3 linked regions of the Arabidopsis thaliana genome follow. The protein of the gene in region 1 binds, or shares a complex with, the protein of each later gene. Each region holds a gene or a part of one and is shown in the gene's direction. Other genes may lie near its edges.

Region 1 (5,324 bases):
AAATAGTATATTTACAAATAGAATAGTATCTCTCAAATTGCAACAACGAAACTCAATTTCATCACCAAGACACCAAGCGCAACAACGAAAGTCGATTCCCTGAATCCAAATTGTGTTCCTCCCTCTGTAATTCGAAACCCCCAAATCAAATCTCACCCAAAAGTAATTAAGAGACTCTGATTTGAAAACAAAAACAAGTAACGAGGTAGGTGTAAAGACTTTACTGGGAGAAAGAGAGAGGGAGAGGGAAAAAGAAAGAGAGAGAAAGAGAGAGGGGGAGAGAGAGAAAGAGGGAGGGAAGATAGAAGGGAAGAGAGAGGTAGACGGAAAGAGAAATGGAGAAAAATAGATAAAGGGGTAAACTTGGAATTAATATACAAAATATAGAGGATATCAGTTCTTTTTCCTTTTGATGTTAGTTTCTTAATTATAAACTTTTTGTTGGTTAGTTTTGCCAATTCCCTTACTTACAACTGATAACCGTATAGCTCTTTTATCAGAAAAAACTTTATATATCTAATCTCCCAAAATATACAAATGTGAGAAATATCTGAAAATAAATCAATTCTCACCAATTATATATATTTGATTACTTAAAAATGTTAATATATGGCAGTTGCTTGTTCAGAGAATAACTTAAAAAATTGATCACGAGATCGGCTTATGTTTAATATTTTTGAACTCTTGGGATAAAAGTTTTGAAGATATATATATCGTAGAAAAGTTTTGTGTTCTTTAATTAGTTACAAAATTTTGAGTTTTTTTTTTTTCTTTCATAAAGTATCAGAATATCAGGGTGATTTATTGAATAGTTTATTTTTTCTCGTTCTACTCACGTTATTCTTGCAAGTATTAATTTTGGTTTGTTTATAAAAAAAGTATTTGGAAATTTTATGTGAGCAAGTGCGAAATAAACGAGGATTTTGGGAAGTATTTTTTTTTTTGTAAAATCGGTTATATTGAACGTTATACTATATATATTATTATATAAATATAACTGCTAAAGACTAAATTTAGATACTAAAATCAGCATTGATGAAGATCCACATGAATAAGACTCGTCTCTTAACTCAACATTTAACATATGATTTTCATATTATTGATCATTTATCTTTGTGTTGGTCCAAGGTGCCAGACTTTATTATTTACATTAAATGTTGAGTTGTTTACTGACATATTTTTTAATTAAAACAACTTTCATATTATTGCCCATTTATATTTTGGTTGGTCCTCCAAAGACTTACAGGATACATATGTTTCTCCATTTTCATTTTTATGATCTAAAACGTCTTTTTCTAACTTAGATTCTAAATGGTTACAGCAAACCGGACATACAATTTTGCTTGTCAAATGGATCGTTGAGATAGACAACAATCCAATGTAAAACCAAAACTCTTGATTTATAATTGGTCTGCAATGATTTTTTTTTGGTTCATATACCATTTTATAAGATAGCAAACCATTTTCATCATAAAAGATATATTTTTTTATCATTGAATACCAATCAAACCCGGTATAATAAATAAAATTGTACCAAATTAATGCGGTTAGGTAAATTCAATTTATTGGAAATTAAAGAAGAGAAAAAAAAAATAACGAACAAAATTTCCTTGACACAAAAAAAAAAAAAGAAGAAAGAAAAAACCCTTACTCTCAATTAGTCAATCCCCTTCCCTAGTCCTCCTCTCTTCAAGCTTTTCACAGAAAACCACCACCCTTCTCTCTCTACTGCCTTTTTACCACAGAGAAGAGAGAGGATCCGTCGGTGTGCTAGTCTCACTGACACTACATCCGATCGTCGCCGGTAAGTTGATTTCGTTACTCTCCGATCAATTTCTTTTCCGGAGGAGGAACTTGTTTTCCGTGCGAAATTCTGACTTGAACTTTGTTGTCAATTCATCAAACGCTTTATCTTTTCTCCATCTTCAATTATCTTACTGCTTCGTCGCTGATCTCTACTTGTTTTCCTCCGTTTTGCATTTTCAGTGGCGTTTCTTAGTGTTTCACTAGATTTAGACTGGTTTTGCTTGTGTGCATTTTGTCATCAGTGTTTATGATTGTTCGCTTTAGCTCTATGTTTCTATGGATTTGATAATATATGAGTTCGCTGCTCTGGATTCAGCTGGCTTGTTTGATTGTTCATTTTCATAATTCTGTCCAAAGAATCAAATCCACAGTAGCTCGGATCTGAGATTGATTTGTTTCTTTGCGTCTTTGTGTAGATTTGACTTTAATTTTGAGATTGTTGTGTGCTGATATACAGCTTAATTAATATAGCCTCTGATGTGTTATTATCGATGTGTCATTATCAATCTACAGGTGACATTTTATAAGTGTGGAGTTTACTTCAGCTTTATTATTCAGGAATTGATGGATCAGGTTGGTGTAAATAGTTGTTTCAGTTCTTACTCTTTTGACGAGAGTCTCTGTTAATGTGCTCTTATTAATGCAGTACGAGAAAGTTGAGAAGATTGGTGAAGGAACTTACGGTGTGGTTTATAAGGCACGTGACAAAGTGACTAATGAGACAATTGCTTTGAAGAAGATCAGGCTAGAGCAGGAGGATGAAGGTGTTCCTAGCACAGCAATCAGAGAAATCTCCCTCTTGAAAGAAATGCAGCACAGCAACATTGTCAAGTATGATGTTAATACCATTGTTGAAAACTGATTCAGCATGATGACTCTGGTAAACAATTTTGATTGATGTTTTTTGCTACACAGATTGCAGGATGTGGTGCACAGCGAGAAACGTTTGTATCTGGTTTTTGAGTATCTTGACTTGGATCTCAAAAAGCACATGGATTCTACTCCTGATTTCTCCAAGGATCTACATATGATCAAAGTGAGTGCTAAGAAACTTTAGGCATTGTTTTATATATGTGCTTAAACTCAATACTCAATATAAGCTGATCAGAGCTGTTCATCCACTATTTTCAGACATATCTTTACCAGATTCTCCGTGGAATTGCGTATTGCCACTCTCATAGGGTTCTCCATCGTGATCTGAAGCCACAGAATTTGTTGATTGATCGCCGCACAAACTCACTGAAGCTTGCTGATTTTGGACTGGCCAGAGCATTCGGTATCCCTGTCAGGACATTTACTCATGAGGTACCAAAGAGCTTTATTCCTTGTTCATATGTTCCCGTTATGAAATCTTTTGGCTGGCTGCATTCCTTATGAGTGTAATGTAAATTAAGTATTATACCACTTATGTGTCTGATAAATGTGATGAAAAGGACTAAGCCATTTCACATAGACGGTTGAAGTAAGCTAGTTCAAGATACTGTAAAATATTTCAATGCTACATCCAGATTTCAGATCTCTTCCTGGTTATTCACACAATTTTTGCATATTGTTCCTTTAGGTTGTTACTCTCTGGTACCGAGCACCAGAGATACTCCTAGGATCTCATCATTACTCTACACCTGTTGATATTTGGTCTGTGGGGTGCATATTTGCTGAGATGATCAGCCAAAAGCCCTTATTTCCTGGAGACTCCGAGATTGATCAACTCTTCAAGATTTTCAGGTTTAATTGCTAACTTCCCCAGTCCAATATTCCTCTATATATTACAAGTGCAAAGACTTGTCTGCAATGATATCACAAGGGATTGTGGAAACATTTTCAACTTGATATCACATTTTGGAGAAGTAGTAAAGGACACAGAAATTGAATTGTTAACTGATTATAAATCTGTTACTGCCTTGTTTTGTTGTCTTCTTCTAGAATCATGGGAACTCCGTACGAGGATACATGGCGTGGGGTAACTTCTCTACCGGATTATAAATCTGCTTTCCCTAAATGGAAACCAACGGTACTTCAAATGTCTTTATTCGCTTGTACATCTTGTCTTCAGTAGTCAAGAGTTCACAACATATATTAATTCTTGCCCTTGTTTTTTTTTCTTATACCACAGGACCTAGAAACTTTTGTCCCCAATCTAGATCCCGATGGAGTCGATCTCCTTTCTGTAAGTTCACTGAGCTAGATATATACACACACATATATAGACACACTACTTCTGCTATTAGAGACCTGTATGCTTGATTGTGATGGATCTGGTCTCATGTTTCTTACTAAAAACCTTTTAACCATTTGAGGTTTTAGATGTCTTATAAAGTCATCAAGAGCCGGCGTACTAAAACCAATTCGATTAGGCTTCATAGTTTCAAAACCACATGAAGCCAAAACCAAACTTGTTTGAAATATGAACAATCTTCAAAAACCAGGATTCTTGAAATTCCTAACCAAACCAGACATCTGGATAGAAATCTAAGATTTTGAGCTCCTGTGAAAGCAAAGATGATAATATATCTCTCTGCTTGATTTGTTTCAGAAAATGCTGTTAATGGATCCGACCAAAAGAATCAACGCAAGAGCCGCCCTGGAGCATGAATACTTCAAGGATCTTGGAGGCATGCCTTAGAAAGGCATAAAACCAGTAATCTCCTTCATTCTATATATAATTATCAATCCTAAGAAAATGAAGAACAATATTAATGGGTTTTGTTTATTCTTTTTCTGAGTTCGTTTCCTACTTATATTCTATTACGAAAAAAAAGAAAGAAGAAGATTTCGAGTGTGTTTTTTTTTACTTCTAAGCTTTTGAGATCAGTTTCTTGTATCTTATTTTACCCAGAATATAGTATTTCCCTATATGAAATATGGTTTTTGTTTTGCAAAATGACCATATTATGCAACTTCTCAGCTTCTTGATTGTGCCTTGATAGTGATCTTTTGAAATATATCCCAAAAAACATCACTTTTTTCGATTTCATTAGTACTTATTTACGAGTTACGACGTCATTTGATAACTAGTATATATGGTCCGTCGATCTTAATTTCCTATTTATAAAGGGTGCACCGTTTTTAATGAGACAAGAGGGTCCAAGTAGCCAATCATTAATGAGACCAAAGTTGACCAGAAAAAGCTGACAAATAAATTGACGAGAAGAACAATTCAACACGTATTCGATAGTTTGGATTACATTTTACAGTTGGTCGAAATTCGAAGTAGATCAAATGTCAATAATCTAATTCGAAACTAAATGAAGGTACCTGATAACCATTTCAGTGTTAGTTAGCAGTGGTTTCAATCTATTCACTAAGCAAAGACGCTTCCATTCTGAAAATCAAGTCCAATGGGAGGCATAAACTTAAGTGTCTGAAAAACTCAAAAAAGCATAGCCTCGTGTAAAATAGACCGATCTATTTATTCATGAATATATGTATGATTATCAAAGTGCATTTATACTTTTTACGTTTTAAAATTTCGTATATAAACTTTCCTTAGTGAATATTATAACATAATTTCTAATGAA
Region 2 (5,743 bases), on another chromosome or scaffold:
TGTGCAAATGCTTCTCGCAAGAAAGATCATGCCTTACACAGTCACCCACTTACGCTAAAAGTTGTCTCTGATATACAGAATGAATACTTTAAAGGTTACTTCAGGTGTTCCGCTTGTGATCGTGAAAGTTGTGGCTTCATCTATGAGGAGGATCAATACAGCATAGACATACGGTGTGCCTCTGTTTCTGAACCATTTGATTATCAAGGCCATGAGCATCCCTTATTCCAAGCTTTAGACCGAAAAGAAGAAAGGGAGGCAATTTGTCAAATTTGCCGAAAAAAGTATGGTCGAAAACTAAATTGCATCGAATGCAATTATATTATATGTTTCAGTTGTGCTACTTTACCATACAAGGCAAAGTATAAGCTTGACAAACATTTCCTCACATTTCGGGAAGGGGAAGAGGGAAGTGATCAGTTAGACTGGTGTGAGGTATGCGAAAAGAAATTAGAATACTCAAGAGAAGGTGGGTTCTATGCGTGTGATGACTGCTGCACCACTCTCCATGTTGATTGTTTGCTTGGAAAAGAGATGTATATGTTGAATCCTGGTCATACTGTAATGGCTTATAGGTCAAACATTTATATTCTTCCCAACAATACCATGACTCGACCATTCTGCCAACTTCATAAAGAAGATCGTTGTCCACACAAAGTAATTTTCAATTGGCATGACATGACATTTTGCTCTTACAGTTGTTCGATGGATTAGATGTCATCATCGCCGGTGCTTCGTCGTCCCTTATTCGCTATATTTCACTCCCCATTTGCTTGTCTACGTTTTGTAATATGTTTCTTCTATTAAAACGTATTGTAATACTTTTGGATTCTTAACTTCTTCTAGTTCCCCATTTGCTCAATCTTCTTGTTGTCTGGTTGTTTACGTTTTTGTGTAATCTTTTCTTTTACTAAAACGAATTGTAATTTTCTATATCTTCTTCTTACCCAAAAACCTCGACTGATTAATTATATCTCGGCCTTTGGGCTTTAAATTATGGGCCAATTCGGACTGTTCTCGCTTAAGAAACTACAGTAAAAAAAAAAACCAGAATGAGTTATCTTAATGATCCGACGGTCCATAATCATTGAGGACCTCTGATTTGCCGACGTGTACAATGGTCAACGCATCAGCTAAAGAGTGCCGTTTGAGGTTGAAACTTTTATTTCCAACGTCAACCTTTCTTCTACTTTTAACGTCCGTTAAGTCCCCCTGTGGTTTCTTGTCACCATTTTCGGTTATAGTTTGATTTTAGATAACCGGTTTTATCCAACCACGAATTAAACTCGTTGTTTTCGTTTTTATCCGAAAGAATATTATAATTAATTAATTAGCCCAGTCACATTAATAAGTTTCGTAAAAAAACATTCATTTTCTCAATTCAATTAACCGGCTTCTTCCAATTCTTTTGAGTCGGTTTGGAATAAACCGGCCGGTTCCAGGTTAACGGCAGTTAGCAGTTACGTCGGCGGAAGAAGTATTCGTTACAATATTTGTTTTAATCCCAATTAGTCTCCTTCTCCTTTCTCTCTTCTCTCTCGTTCAACGGGCAAAGTTTTTTTCGAATATAAGTTTTGGTTTGTTTTTTAACGTTCCCTTCTTCTTCTTCCTCGCGAATTCGCTTATCTGGCGATCACGATGAGCTCAAGTTCGAATCCACCGGTTTGTTCACCGGAAAAGGTCAGATTTTTCCCTGAAATCTGATTAGGGCTTTTCATTTTTTGTGATCAGATTGTTATCTTCGTCTACTTTGGTGTGAGTTCATGGGGTTTTAGGTCTGAATCGGAACACGTTTTAACAGGTCTTGGAAAAGGGTCTGAATTGGTTTCTAATGATTAGAATTGTATAAACCCTAAACATCCATCTTGTGCTTGAAAGAAATCGACTTGTTTTTTTGTGAGATCTGGCTTCTATTTTGCGGCCGTTGAGTTTTTAGGGTTTTGTGATTTTTGATTATTTGTTTGATAAAGATACGTTCTTGTTCATTTTGTGCTCAATCCCATGTTTTTAACGAAAATTCTGGATTTGGTGATTTATATGGGTTTTTTAGGAGGAAAGAAGTGAAATGAAAATTGAGATTCAATGTATGGAGAATAAGCAACCATTAGCTGCTTCTTGCTCTTCTGCATCCGAAGGTAGTGGCTGTTTCTTCCTCAAGTCACCTGAAATCGCAACTCCTGCCACAGTATCTTCATTTCCTCGGTACTTTTACTATCTTTTACATTTCATCTTCTATCTGTGTGTTTATACAACTTATTATGAAATTGATTGATTGGAAAGACTGTGCTTTGATGACTTACACCGAACTCATTTTGGGTTTCTGCAATGTTTTAATGTTGATCTGCAGGAGGACTAGTGGACCTATGAGACGAGCAAAAGGTGGTTGGACTCCAGAGGAGGTTAGTGGTTGCTTTTGTTTCATAATTTTGTTGGTGTGTGGAGCAACCTCATTCGACTATGTATCTTATATGTATAAGGATTAGTGTTTACTTGAATGAAAGACGAGACTAGCCTTATTGTGGTCTGTAATTGGTTTTTATCACTATTCAGGATGAGACACTTAGACGAGCAGTTGAAAAGTATAAGGGGAAGAGGTGGAAGAAAATAGGTAAATTTCTTTTCTTGAATGTAAAAGTAGTATTGCAATACATTAGAATGAGATTATAGGTCTTCTAATCACACTCTTGTCTTGATGTATACTTGAATGTATAATTTATACATTTTTAAAACTGAACTCGTATCTTAAATCTGCTGAGAATTTTGTGAATTTTTCTCATTCAGTAAACATGATCTCTGCTGTGCACTTTGCAAGAGAACCATGATTTCTTTTTTGTCTCTTAAATGTTAAAGTAGCTGGTTTCGGTCAATGTTCTGTTTGTTTGATTTTTTTGTATTTCATCTTACAGCGGAATTTTTCCCAGAGAGAACAGAAGTCCAATGCTTGCACAGGTGGCAGAAAGTTCTTAATCCAGAGCTTGTTAAAGGACCTTGGACTCAAGAGGTTCTCTTATCATTTTCATGTTCTGAAACTTTTTTTGGTTTTCATTTTACGTAAAAATTTGGTAGCTCTAAAATTCTCTTTCTTTCGTGAATTGTAGGAGGATGATAAAATCGTTGAACTTGTAAAAAAATATGGACCTGCCAAATGGTCTGTCATCGCCAAGTCCTTACCAGGTCGTATTGGGAAACAATGTCGAGAAAGGTAACAAAGATTAGAATATTGACTATCTGAAGAATAGAGCCTGTACCTCCGTTGAGTTTGGAAGCCTCAACGAGTTTACGATTACAGGTGGCACAACCATTTAAATCCTGGTATTAGAAAGGATGCTTGGACCGTAGAAGAAGAATCAGCTCTCATGAATTCTCATCGAATGTACGGAAACAAATGGGCGGAAATTGCTAAGGTTTTACCAGGAAGGTATACTTACTTGTAGTTGAAAAAGGCCTTGTGAAAAATAAAGTTAATGGACATTTTTGAACATCTCATACAGTTTTTGCTTCTGATGTCTACCTGTACTTTTTGCAGGACTGATAACGCCATAAAGAACCATTGGAATAGTTCACTGAAGAAAAAATTAGAGTTCTACTTAGCAACTGGTAACTTGCCACCGCCAGCAAGCAAATTCATCGTTCTGAAAGATATTGCTGATGGAGACAGAGATTCCAAGCAGTCTAGTGCAACTAAACCTTTCAAGGATTCTGATTCGCTTACCCAAACCTCTTCAGGAAATACAGATTCAAATGAAGTTGGAAGAGACCATTTTGACTCTTCTTCCGCTCTGCTTGAAGAAGTAGCTGCTTCACGAAGAATCGGTGTCAATGAGTATGCTTGCTCTCCTGTTGAGTACAAGCCTCAGTTGCCTAATCTGGAACCAATTTCAGAGGAAGTCAGAATCAACTCAAAAGCTTATTTTGAGAGATCAATCCAGAGGAAAGTAGAAAACGGGTTTGGAACTCCAAAGCATGGGAATTTATACTATAAGTCTCCACTTGACTATTACTTTCCATCAGAAGCGGATCTGCAACATATGTACGGATATGAATGTGGTTGCAGTCCCGGTGCTGCATCACCAGTCAGCTTAATGACTACACCCTGTAATAAAGACAGTGGTTTAACTGCAACGAGAAGTCCTGAATCTTTCTTGAGAGAAGCTGCTAGGACTTTTCCAAACACACCTTCTATTTTTAGGAAAAGGCGAAAGGTTGTTTTGGCAGCGAAAACAGATGCTGTTGTTGTTGTTAATGGTGTAGTTAAGGAAGTTGATCGAAAAGAAGAAAGTAAAGATATGAGAAAAAGTTTGTTGCTGGAGACAACTGATAATTGCAGTGATGATGAAGAACTCGGGTTAAATGGAAATGCTTTCAATTTGTCTCCACCATATCGGTTAAGAGCTAAAAGAACAGCTGTAATCAAATCAAGACAGCTTGAGTTTACATCTGAAAAGGAGAAGCAGCCAGATAATGAGATTGAGTTTACATCTGCAAAAGAGAAGCAGCCTGATAATGAAATTAAAACGTCTGAGGAAGACAAGCCTGTGTAGAACCCTTCTTCCCTTAGAAAACTGTGAGTGAAAATTTCAAATCTTTTATTTAATGTCACTAATCTGAGTAACAAATCTAAAATAATTCCATCCTTGTTGACACAGAGATCGTGTGAAGAAACCAGTATGGTTCCAGAAGAATTGAAGCTTTGCTGGGAAGAGAACCGTGAAGAAAAACAATTCTCATTCTCTTCCTCACAGCCTTGAGCTATGAATCTACGGCTTTGGTCTAACACCCGAACTAAAATGAAATAGGTAGGTAGGTACACTCACAAGTAGTTTAATTTCATCGTTCACATACATGGTGTCCTGTTTACGTTTAAAATGATAATTGTGCAGAAACTAGTTTTAAAGGATTAGAATTTTGGTTAATTCTTTTTTATTTTTAGGGCTTTTGAGTATATGATGTTACATAGTTGACGAAGACACTGAAAATTCTTCCATTTTCGGACATCGAAGTGATATCAGAACACAACACATTCGTTTTGATACTATCCTTTCTCTGGATCAATCTGTACATATATCAAAAATTTTACAAATAAACCTTCTCAAAATCAACACTTTTTTTTTAATCATTGGGATGTTTATCGACCATTTTCAGGTAGTAAGCCTGAATAAAATAAAAGAAACAATGCAAATCTGCGCACAGAGACTAACCAATGATAGTATTGTTAAAAATAAACATTATGCAACTGCCAAGAAATAATACTCTATTTACAAACATGATCGCATATATCCACAAATAAAGAAATCAACCAAAGTGACAGAAATCAAATAAAAAAAAATCATCAGAAAAGCTCTCAAATCTTTAGAATCTTAACTGATGATTTCAAAGCAACATATGAATACCATCTCATAGAGATCAATGTCTGAGAAATAGCACGCAGATCGTTTAATGTAAGACGGCTCCAATTGTGGTTTGGCCGAGAACTTTTGAACTGCGATCAAGTCCATGAGAACCAACCTGAAAAGGATTTCACCAAGCAAAACAATTATATATTTTACCATACAAACAAAAGTTTCTTCTTTTGATTGTTGAGACAAACATTTACCAAGTAAGTTAAAGCAGCATAACGTTCTTCATTCAGGTATAGTCGTTTTCCTCTGATCATATCGATATCCTGAAACAATATTCAATGACCAACAGCATGGAAACATCCGAATCAACAAGATCGTACCCATCAAAGTTAAAAGGAAAAGAA
Region 3 (5,292 bases), on another chromosome or scaffold:
TCAAATACTTAAATAGTTGGGTTGTTGGCATTTACTGCCACAAGGTAAACTTCTTTCTTCTTTACAGCCACTAGGACATGATAGAGTGATTGCTCAATTATGTGAATATATCCAATGGCTGGGTTTAATTTGAGAATCAAGACAGTTTGTTGGAATGTGACCACAATTATGGCCGGTCCTTTTGATGTGAATCAGGACTTGTACCAATGATGTTACTCCTGCAGGTAATCAGGTTATCTGCTGCGACTCAAGAATACCCTAAATCTATAGTCTGCAATGTTCATGGCGTCAACCCTAAATTTCTCGAAATTGGGTTGAGAAAACTAGAACAGCAGAAGCTCCAGGAGCAGCCCTTCACTAAAGGCGCATACTACATTGGTAAGATGGTCTGGAGCAAAGGGTACAAGGAGCTTCTTAAACTACTTGAGAAACACCAAAAGGAACTTGCCGAGTTAGAGGTTGATTTATACGGTGATGGAGAGGACTCTGAAGAGATCAAAGAAGCAGCCCGAAAACTCGACTTGACGGTTAATGTTTACCCAGGACGTGATCACGCTGACTCGCTATTTCACAAGTAAGTCTCTAGTTCTTAACAGCCTCAAGATTGATTGATTTCCTTGCAGTCTATCGGATTCTATACCTTAAACTTTTCCATCTTCTATTTTCAGCTATAAAGTGTTTCTCAACCCCAGCACGACAGACGTTGTGTGTACAACAACTGCAGAAGCCTTGGCGATGGGAAAAATAGTAGTATGCGCGAATCACATATCGAACAAGTTCTTCAAACAGTTTCCCAACTGCAGAACCTATGACGATGGACAAGGTTTTGTAAGAGCCACGCTCAAGGCTCTTGGGGAACAACCATCGCAACTTACAGAGCAACAAAGGCATGAACTATCATGGGAAGCTGCTACACAACGGTTTATAAAAGTCTCTGATCTGAACCGGTTATCAAGAGCTGATTCGAACTTGTCAAAGAGAAGTGTGTTTGCGTCATCTTCGATTAGTGTGGGGAAAAACTTGGAGGATATGTCAGCGTATATTCATTTCTTGGCGTCTGGATTTGAAGCTTCCAGAACAGCTTTTGGTGCTATACCTGGAAGCTTGCAGCCCGATGAAGAGTTATGTAGAGATCTTGGTTTGTCTCTCAACACTCCTTCCCCAAATACTCGCAAGCAAGATTGACCTGTTTTTTAATTTATCTTTGTCTGCATATCATTGGGATATTTTTGTGTATAAATCAATGTATACTATCTGAATCATTCTATAGCAGCTTTGGTGTAATATTGATGATGAAAGTTAGATTTTTCATCTTGTGGAACATGTATGATGACACGAGTCTGAATTATAAAATTTAGTATATGATTCCATTAAAAGAATCAGAAGCTGTACATATCATTTCGAATTCGCATTTGTCCACTTATGTGGCCAATTGCTCATATTAGAGCCATATCTAATTGCTAATAAGAAAACCATTTAACATATGAACTATGAGTAACTCGTGTCCTGTGCATTAATGGTTTACTTTTCATGGATTTTATTTATGCATACCATTCACTTTTCTTCTAATAAAGATCTTGTGAATCTTTTCTATTTTGCTAATATTTTTGTTTTTATTATCAAAAAGATAATATAGAATCTTAATCCCACAAAAAAAACATTTACCAAGAAAAAAAGTAATTAAATATTAATATTTTAGAGAGAAAAATGGACTAGAGAATCTCTTTATGCATAAAAAAAGATTTTTTGGATAGCCGTTACTGAACGACAAATCCTTTTCAGTCTCTCCTCTTTCTCTCGACAGAGCGATTTCAAGTCTTTCTCTCATAGATTAGAACTTTTTGCGATTGAAAAAACTCTTGTCCGTTCAATTTATAGTTTAAGATAGTTATGTAGTTTAGGATCTCGTTGTTTTCTTCTATATTCTCGTTAGTTGAGGCTGTTATTTAGGGTTTTAGGTTTTGTCAATTTCTGAAAGACTTATGACAGAGTCTATTGATTTAAATCGATCAGAGTCCGAGTCTGATAACAACACCGACGACGTTACTCCTATTTTTGCAATTGATGACTCTTCAAAAGGGTATGTTTCTCTTCGTCCATCTCTTGTTCGTTCCTCAATTATATTTTGTGGTTTGGTTTATATTTGTTGCAACTTGATGAATTTGGGGGTGGGTGTTATATATATATGTGATTAAGGTTTTTATGTGTGATGATTAAGATTAGTGGGAAATTTATAATATCAGTTTTAAGTATATATGTTTATATGTCATTAGGGTTTGATCTTATGATTGCTTTGTGATGTTTGATTTGTGGTTAAAGATACAGAAGAGTGAGTGGTCCTACTAGAAGATCAACTAAAGGAGGATGGACAGCCGAAGAGGTACTTATATCTCTTGTTATGTCTTGTCCAAGTTATATAAATGTGTCACTGAAACCTTTTTTCCATCTTATGCAGGACCAAATTTTGACGAATGTTGTGAAGAAGTACCAAGGGAGGAACTGGAAAAGGATTGGTAAATAATATTTTGATGTGTTAGCCATCAATATTTGCCCTAAAACCAATATACACTATATGAGTTTTTTTTCTCTTGTCTTTGGTTTAGCTGAATGCCTTCCTGGGTCGGAAGAGAATAGGAGGAATGATGTCCAATGTCAGCACCGTTGGCTTAAGGTTCTTGATCCAAGCCTCCAAAAAGGAGCTTGGAAAAAAGAGGTAACTACTTTTGCATTCCTTTCTTAATATATGCTATGTTACGTTGTTTCATTACCTAGTGATCATATATGTCTCTTGATATTCAGGAAGATGAACTCTTAAGTGAGTTGGTTAAAGATTATATGGAGAATGATAGGCCTCCATGGTCAAAAATTTCAAAGGAACTCCCTGGTCGCATCGGCAAGCAATGCCGCGAAAGGTTTCTTACATTTTTCTTTCTTTTCACATTTGGTTTGTGAACTTGATGACAAGTCCACATTTTCCCCATAATGTTGATTATGGGTTTTTTGTTATGTCTTAGGTGGCATAATCATTTGAATCCGACTATTATAAAATCTCCATGGACTAGAGAAGAGGAATTAATTCTCGTTCAAGCACAAAGAGGAAACGGCAACAAATGGGCAGAGATTGCCAAGCTATTGCCTGGAAGGTTTGTCCTTAAAACTAAGAAAACATTGTTGTGGATTTAACTAACCTTCTTGTTCGTGAAAACTAACAGGACGGAGAATAATATTAAGAACCATTGGAATTGTTCAGTTAAGAAAAGGCTAGAGCAGTTTCCTAGTAACCTCTTCTCTGGTGTGGTCTATGGTTCTAAACCTAGTTCTGGTTTTGAATACAACTTTTTCAATCAAAGAAACACGATGGTCGAGAGTTGCATAACATCACAAATCAAGGAAGCTGCAAAGAGTCCTCAAAGGGATTTCTTGGATTTAACTTTAGGACTGAATTGGAGGAGCATTTCTTCATCCACAAGCTCTCTTAGAGGAGAAGAATCAGTCTCATCATCAGTAGACTCAGTTTGTGCAAGACTCAATGGTAAGGCTGAAATATTATCTCATTGGATACGTTCTACAATTGATCATCACATGTTAACAAGTCTTTATGTAAAAGTTTCAGCGTGTTTAGAAACTCCACAGAACAGCAACAACGATACTGTGTGCGTAAAGGAAGTGAGGGAGATGAAAGAGAGACTTAGAATGGCTGCGAGGACTTTCGACACACCCTCCATTATCTCCAAAACAAGCTCACCAGCTTCAGGTTTGAAACGGCTCAGACAAAAATACGATACACCGTTTCCAACAGATGCTCGAAGTCACATGTCAAGTGAGGAAGATCACTCAGTTTCAGCTTCTCCTTCATCCAAATACAGATTTGTGAAACGCAACACCTGCTCTGGCTCAAAACCCTTGGAGAGGCGTTTAGATTTTGACTTTCTGTGAGAAGAGAAAGTGCTTTTGATTTCTTTTTGCTTTTTAGCTTTCGTATTTAGGAATCATAGAGTTTAATAATAACTCATTAAACTTTGCTTTATTTTCCTTGATGTACAAGTAAACATAGGTTTTATGGTAGTCTTTTAATTTATTTTGTTTCCGATATATTTATCAGGAAGAAAGAGAGAAGCTTCTCTTCTTGTGTGTGGTAATTTCTCATCACCTTCCTAATTTCCTAATCCGAGTAAAAAGTTAAAAAGCCTTTACAAAAAGTTACCCTAATACATATACTTATACAAGTTCCTCTCGTGAAAAGAAAAAAGGAAGCACAATCTTTATATCTTGAAAGCATTCTCTGTGTAATGAGTCGTAAGATCCAAATCACGGCCGTATCGGCGGAAAATCTGGTCGACGGTAGAAAACCGGTGAATAAGAACGCCTTCGTTGTCTTCGACATGGCCGGGAACTATTGGAAACAGCCAATGAGGACGAGTGTCGACGAGGTCGGTGGGAATTGTCCGATGTGGGAGGATGAGCTAGAGACTGAGTTTTCGTCGGAGGAAAAAGCGACAAGCGTGATGTACGTTCAGGTTTTATGTCGGAGTTCAGGGAAGGATAAGCGCGTGGGAACGGCACGTGTGCCGGTAAAGGATTTTACGGGAGAATATGCACCGGAGGGATTTATGCACTGTTTGAGTTACAGATTGTGGGACGAACATGGTCGAAGAAACGGGATTGTCAATTTCTCTGTTAGGATTCTGCCCCAAAAATCTGATCTTAAATCCGGTCTTGTGCGTCCGTTTTGGTTACGTTAGTGTTTAGGTTACAGATCGGACACGTTTTTTTATTATTATTATGGTTTTCTCTGATTTGCATTAATTCGGTCTAGTGAAATAAACTCTGTTGGCTAATTTGTTTGAGGCAATAAAAAAGAAACATTAAAATAGATGACAATAATCAACCAAAGAAAAGTAAATAGATGAAAATTGTTATATTACAATTTGCTTATTTTTCTCATTAAATATAATTTTTTTCAGTAAAATCGAATTTACATTTAGATTTTTGGACTTGTTGTTAATATATTTTTAAGTAGTGTAACTACACAATTTAAAAACTAGATGTCTAGATCCAAACCAACAACTTTTTCTATAATAAAGGATTCTACAATTATAATTTATTTATTTATTGGTAAAATCAACCAGTGTTGATATCACAAAATTGTTGCGGTTAACGTTTATGTTAAAAAGATGTTGTGTGTTTACGTTCAAAAGATAATCCAAAGGTTTTGATTGAGACATTATCAAAAGATACGCACACCGTGACACGTAATGGGCTAGAAAACAAAACGTAATGCAGTCTCAGTAT

The links. The genes of interacting proteins can lie anywhere in the genome.
Region 2: CDC2 (region 1) and MYB3R-5 share a complex: the UniProt entries of both Arabidopsis thaliana proteins name them as parts of the DREAM-like complex.
Region 3: CDC2 (region 1) and MYB3R2 share a complex: the UniProt entries of both Arabidopsis thaliana proteins name them as parts of the DREAM-like complex.

The regions. Positions count from the first base shown.
Region 1 is NC_003074.8:18,069,868-18,075,191, forward strand, and holds CDC2 (cell division control 2), read left to right. Parts: upstream 1-1,586; 5' UTR 1,587-1,804; intron 1,805-2,319; 5' UTR 2,320-2,370; coding exon 2,371-2,379; intron 2,380-2,452; coding exon 2,453-2,637; intron 2,638-2,721; coding exon 2,722-2,842; intron 2,843-2,937; coding exon 2,938-3,111; intron 3,112-3,367; coding exon 3,368-3,531; intron 3,532-3,729; coding exon 3,730-3,817; intron 3,818-3,919; coding exon 3,920-3,973; intron 3,974-4,339; coding exon 4,340-4,429; 3' UTR 4,430-4,774; downstream 4,775-5,324. UniProt on the Arabidopsis thaliana protein: Involved in the control of the cell cycle. Essential for both G1/S and G2/M (mitosis) phase transitions. Functions in cell morphogenesis as well as cell proliferation.
Region 2 is NC_003076.8:482,243-487,985, reverse strand, and holds MYB3R-5 (myb domain protein 3r-5), read left to right. Parts: upstream 1-1,512; 5' UTR 1,513-1,638; coding exon 1,639-1,680; intron 1,681-2,050; coding exon 2,051-2,202; intron 2,203-2,321; exon of another isoform or gene 2,322-2,333; coding exon of another isoform or gene 2,334-2,347; coding exon 2,348-2,399; intron 2,400-2,550; coding exon 2,551-2,608; intron 2,609-2,906; coding exon 2,907-3,001; intron 3,002-3,098; coding exon 3,099-3,202; intron 3,203-3,289; coding exon 3,290-3,418; intron 3,419-3,526; coding exon 3,527-4,541; 3' UTR 4,542-4,564; exon of another isoform or gene 4,565-4,646; 3' UTR 4,647-5,193; downstream 5,194-5,743. Other genes in the region: AT5G02330 (Cysteine/Histidine-rich C1 domain family protein), read left to right, coding at 1-714; PRT6 (proteolysis 6), read right to left, coding at 5,434-5,505, 5,594-5,662. UniProt on the Arabidopsis thaliana protein: Transcription factor that binds 5'-AACGG-3' motifs in gene promoters. Transcription repressor that regulates organ growth.
Region 3 is NC_003075.7:234,047-239,338, reverse strand, and holds MYB3R2 (myb domain protein 3r2), read left to right. Parts: upstream 1-1,756; 5' UTR 1,757-1,982; coding exon 1,983-2,080; intron 2,081-2,319; coding exon of another isoform or gene 2,320-2,325; coding exon 2,326-2,380; intron 2,381-2,455; coding exon 2,456-2,513; intron 2,514-2,603; coding exon 2,604-2,713; intron 2,714-2,799; coding exon 2,800-2,912; intron 2,913-3,014; coding exon 3,015-3,143; intron 3,144-3,212; coding exon 3,213-3,532; intron 3,533-3,607; coding exon of another isoform or gene 3,608-3,613; coding exon 3,614-3,932; coding exon of another isoform or gene 3,933-3,936; exon of another isoform or gene 3,937-4,125; intron 4,126-4,630; coding exon 4,631-4,742; downstream 4,743-5,292. Other genes in the region: DGD2 (digalactosyl diacylglycerol deficient 2), read left to right, coding at 1-44, 225-574, 669-1,185. UniProt on the Arabidopsis thaliana protein: Transcription factor that binds 5'-AACGG-3' motifs in gene promoters. Required for proper circadian rhythm.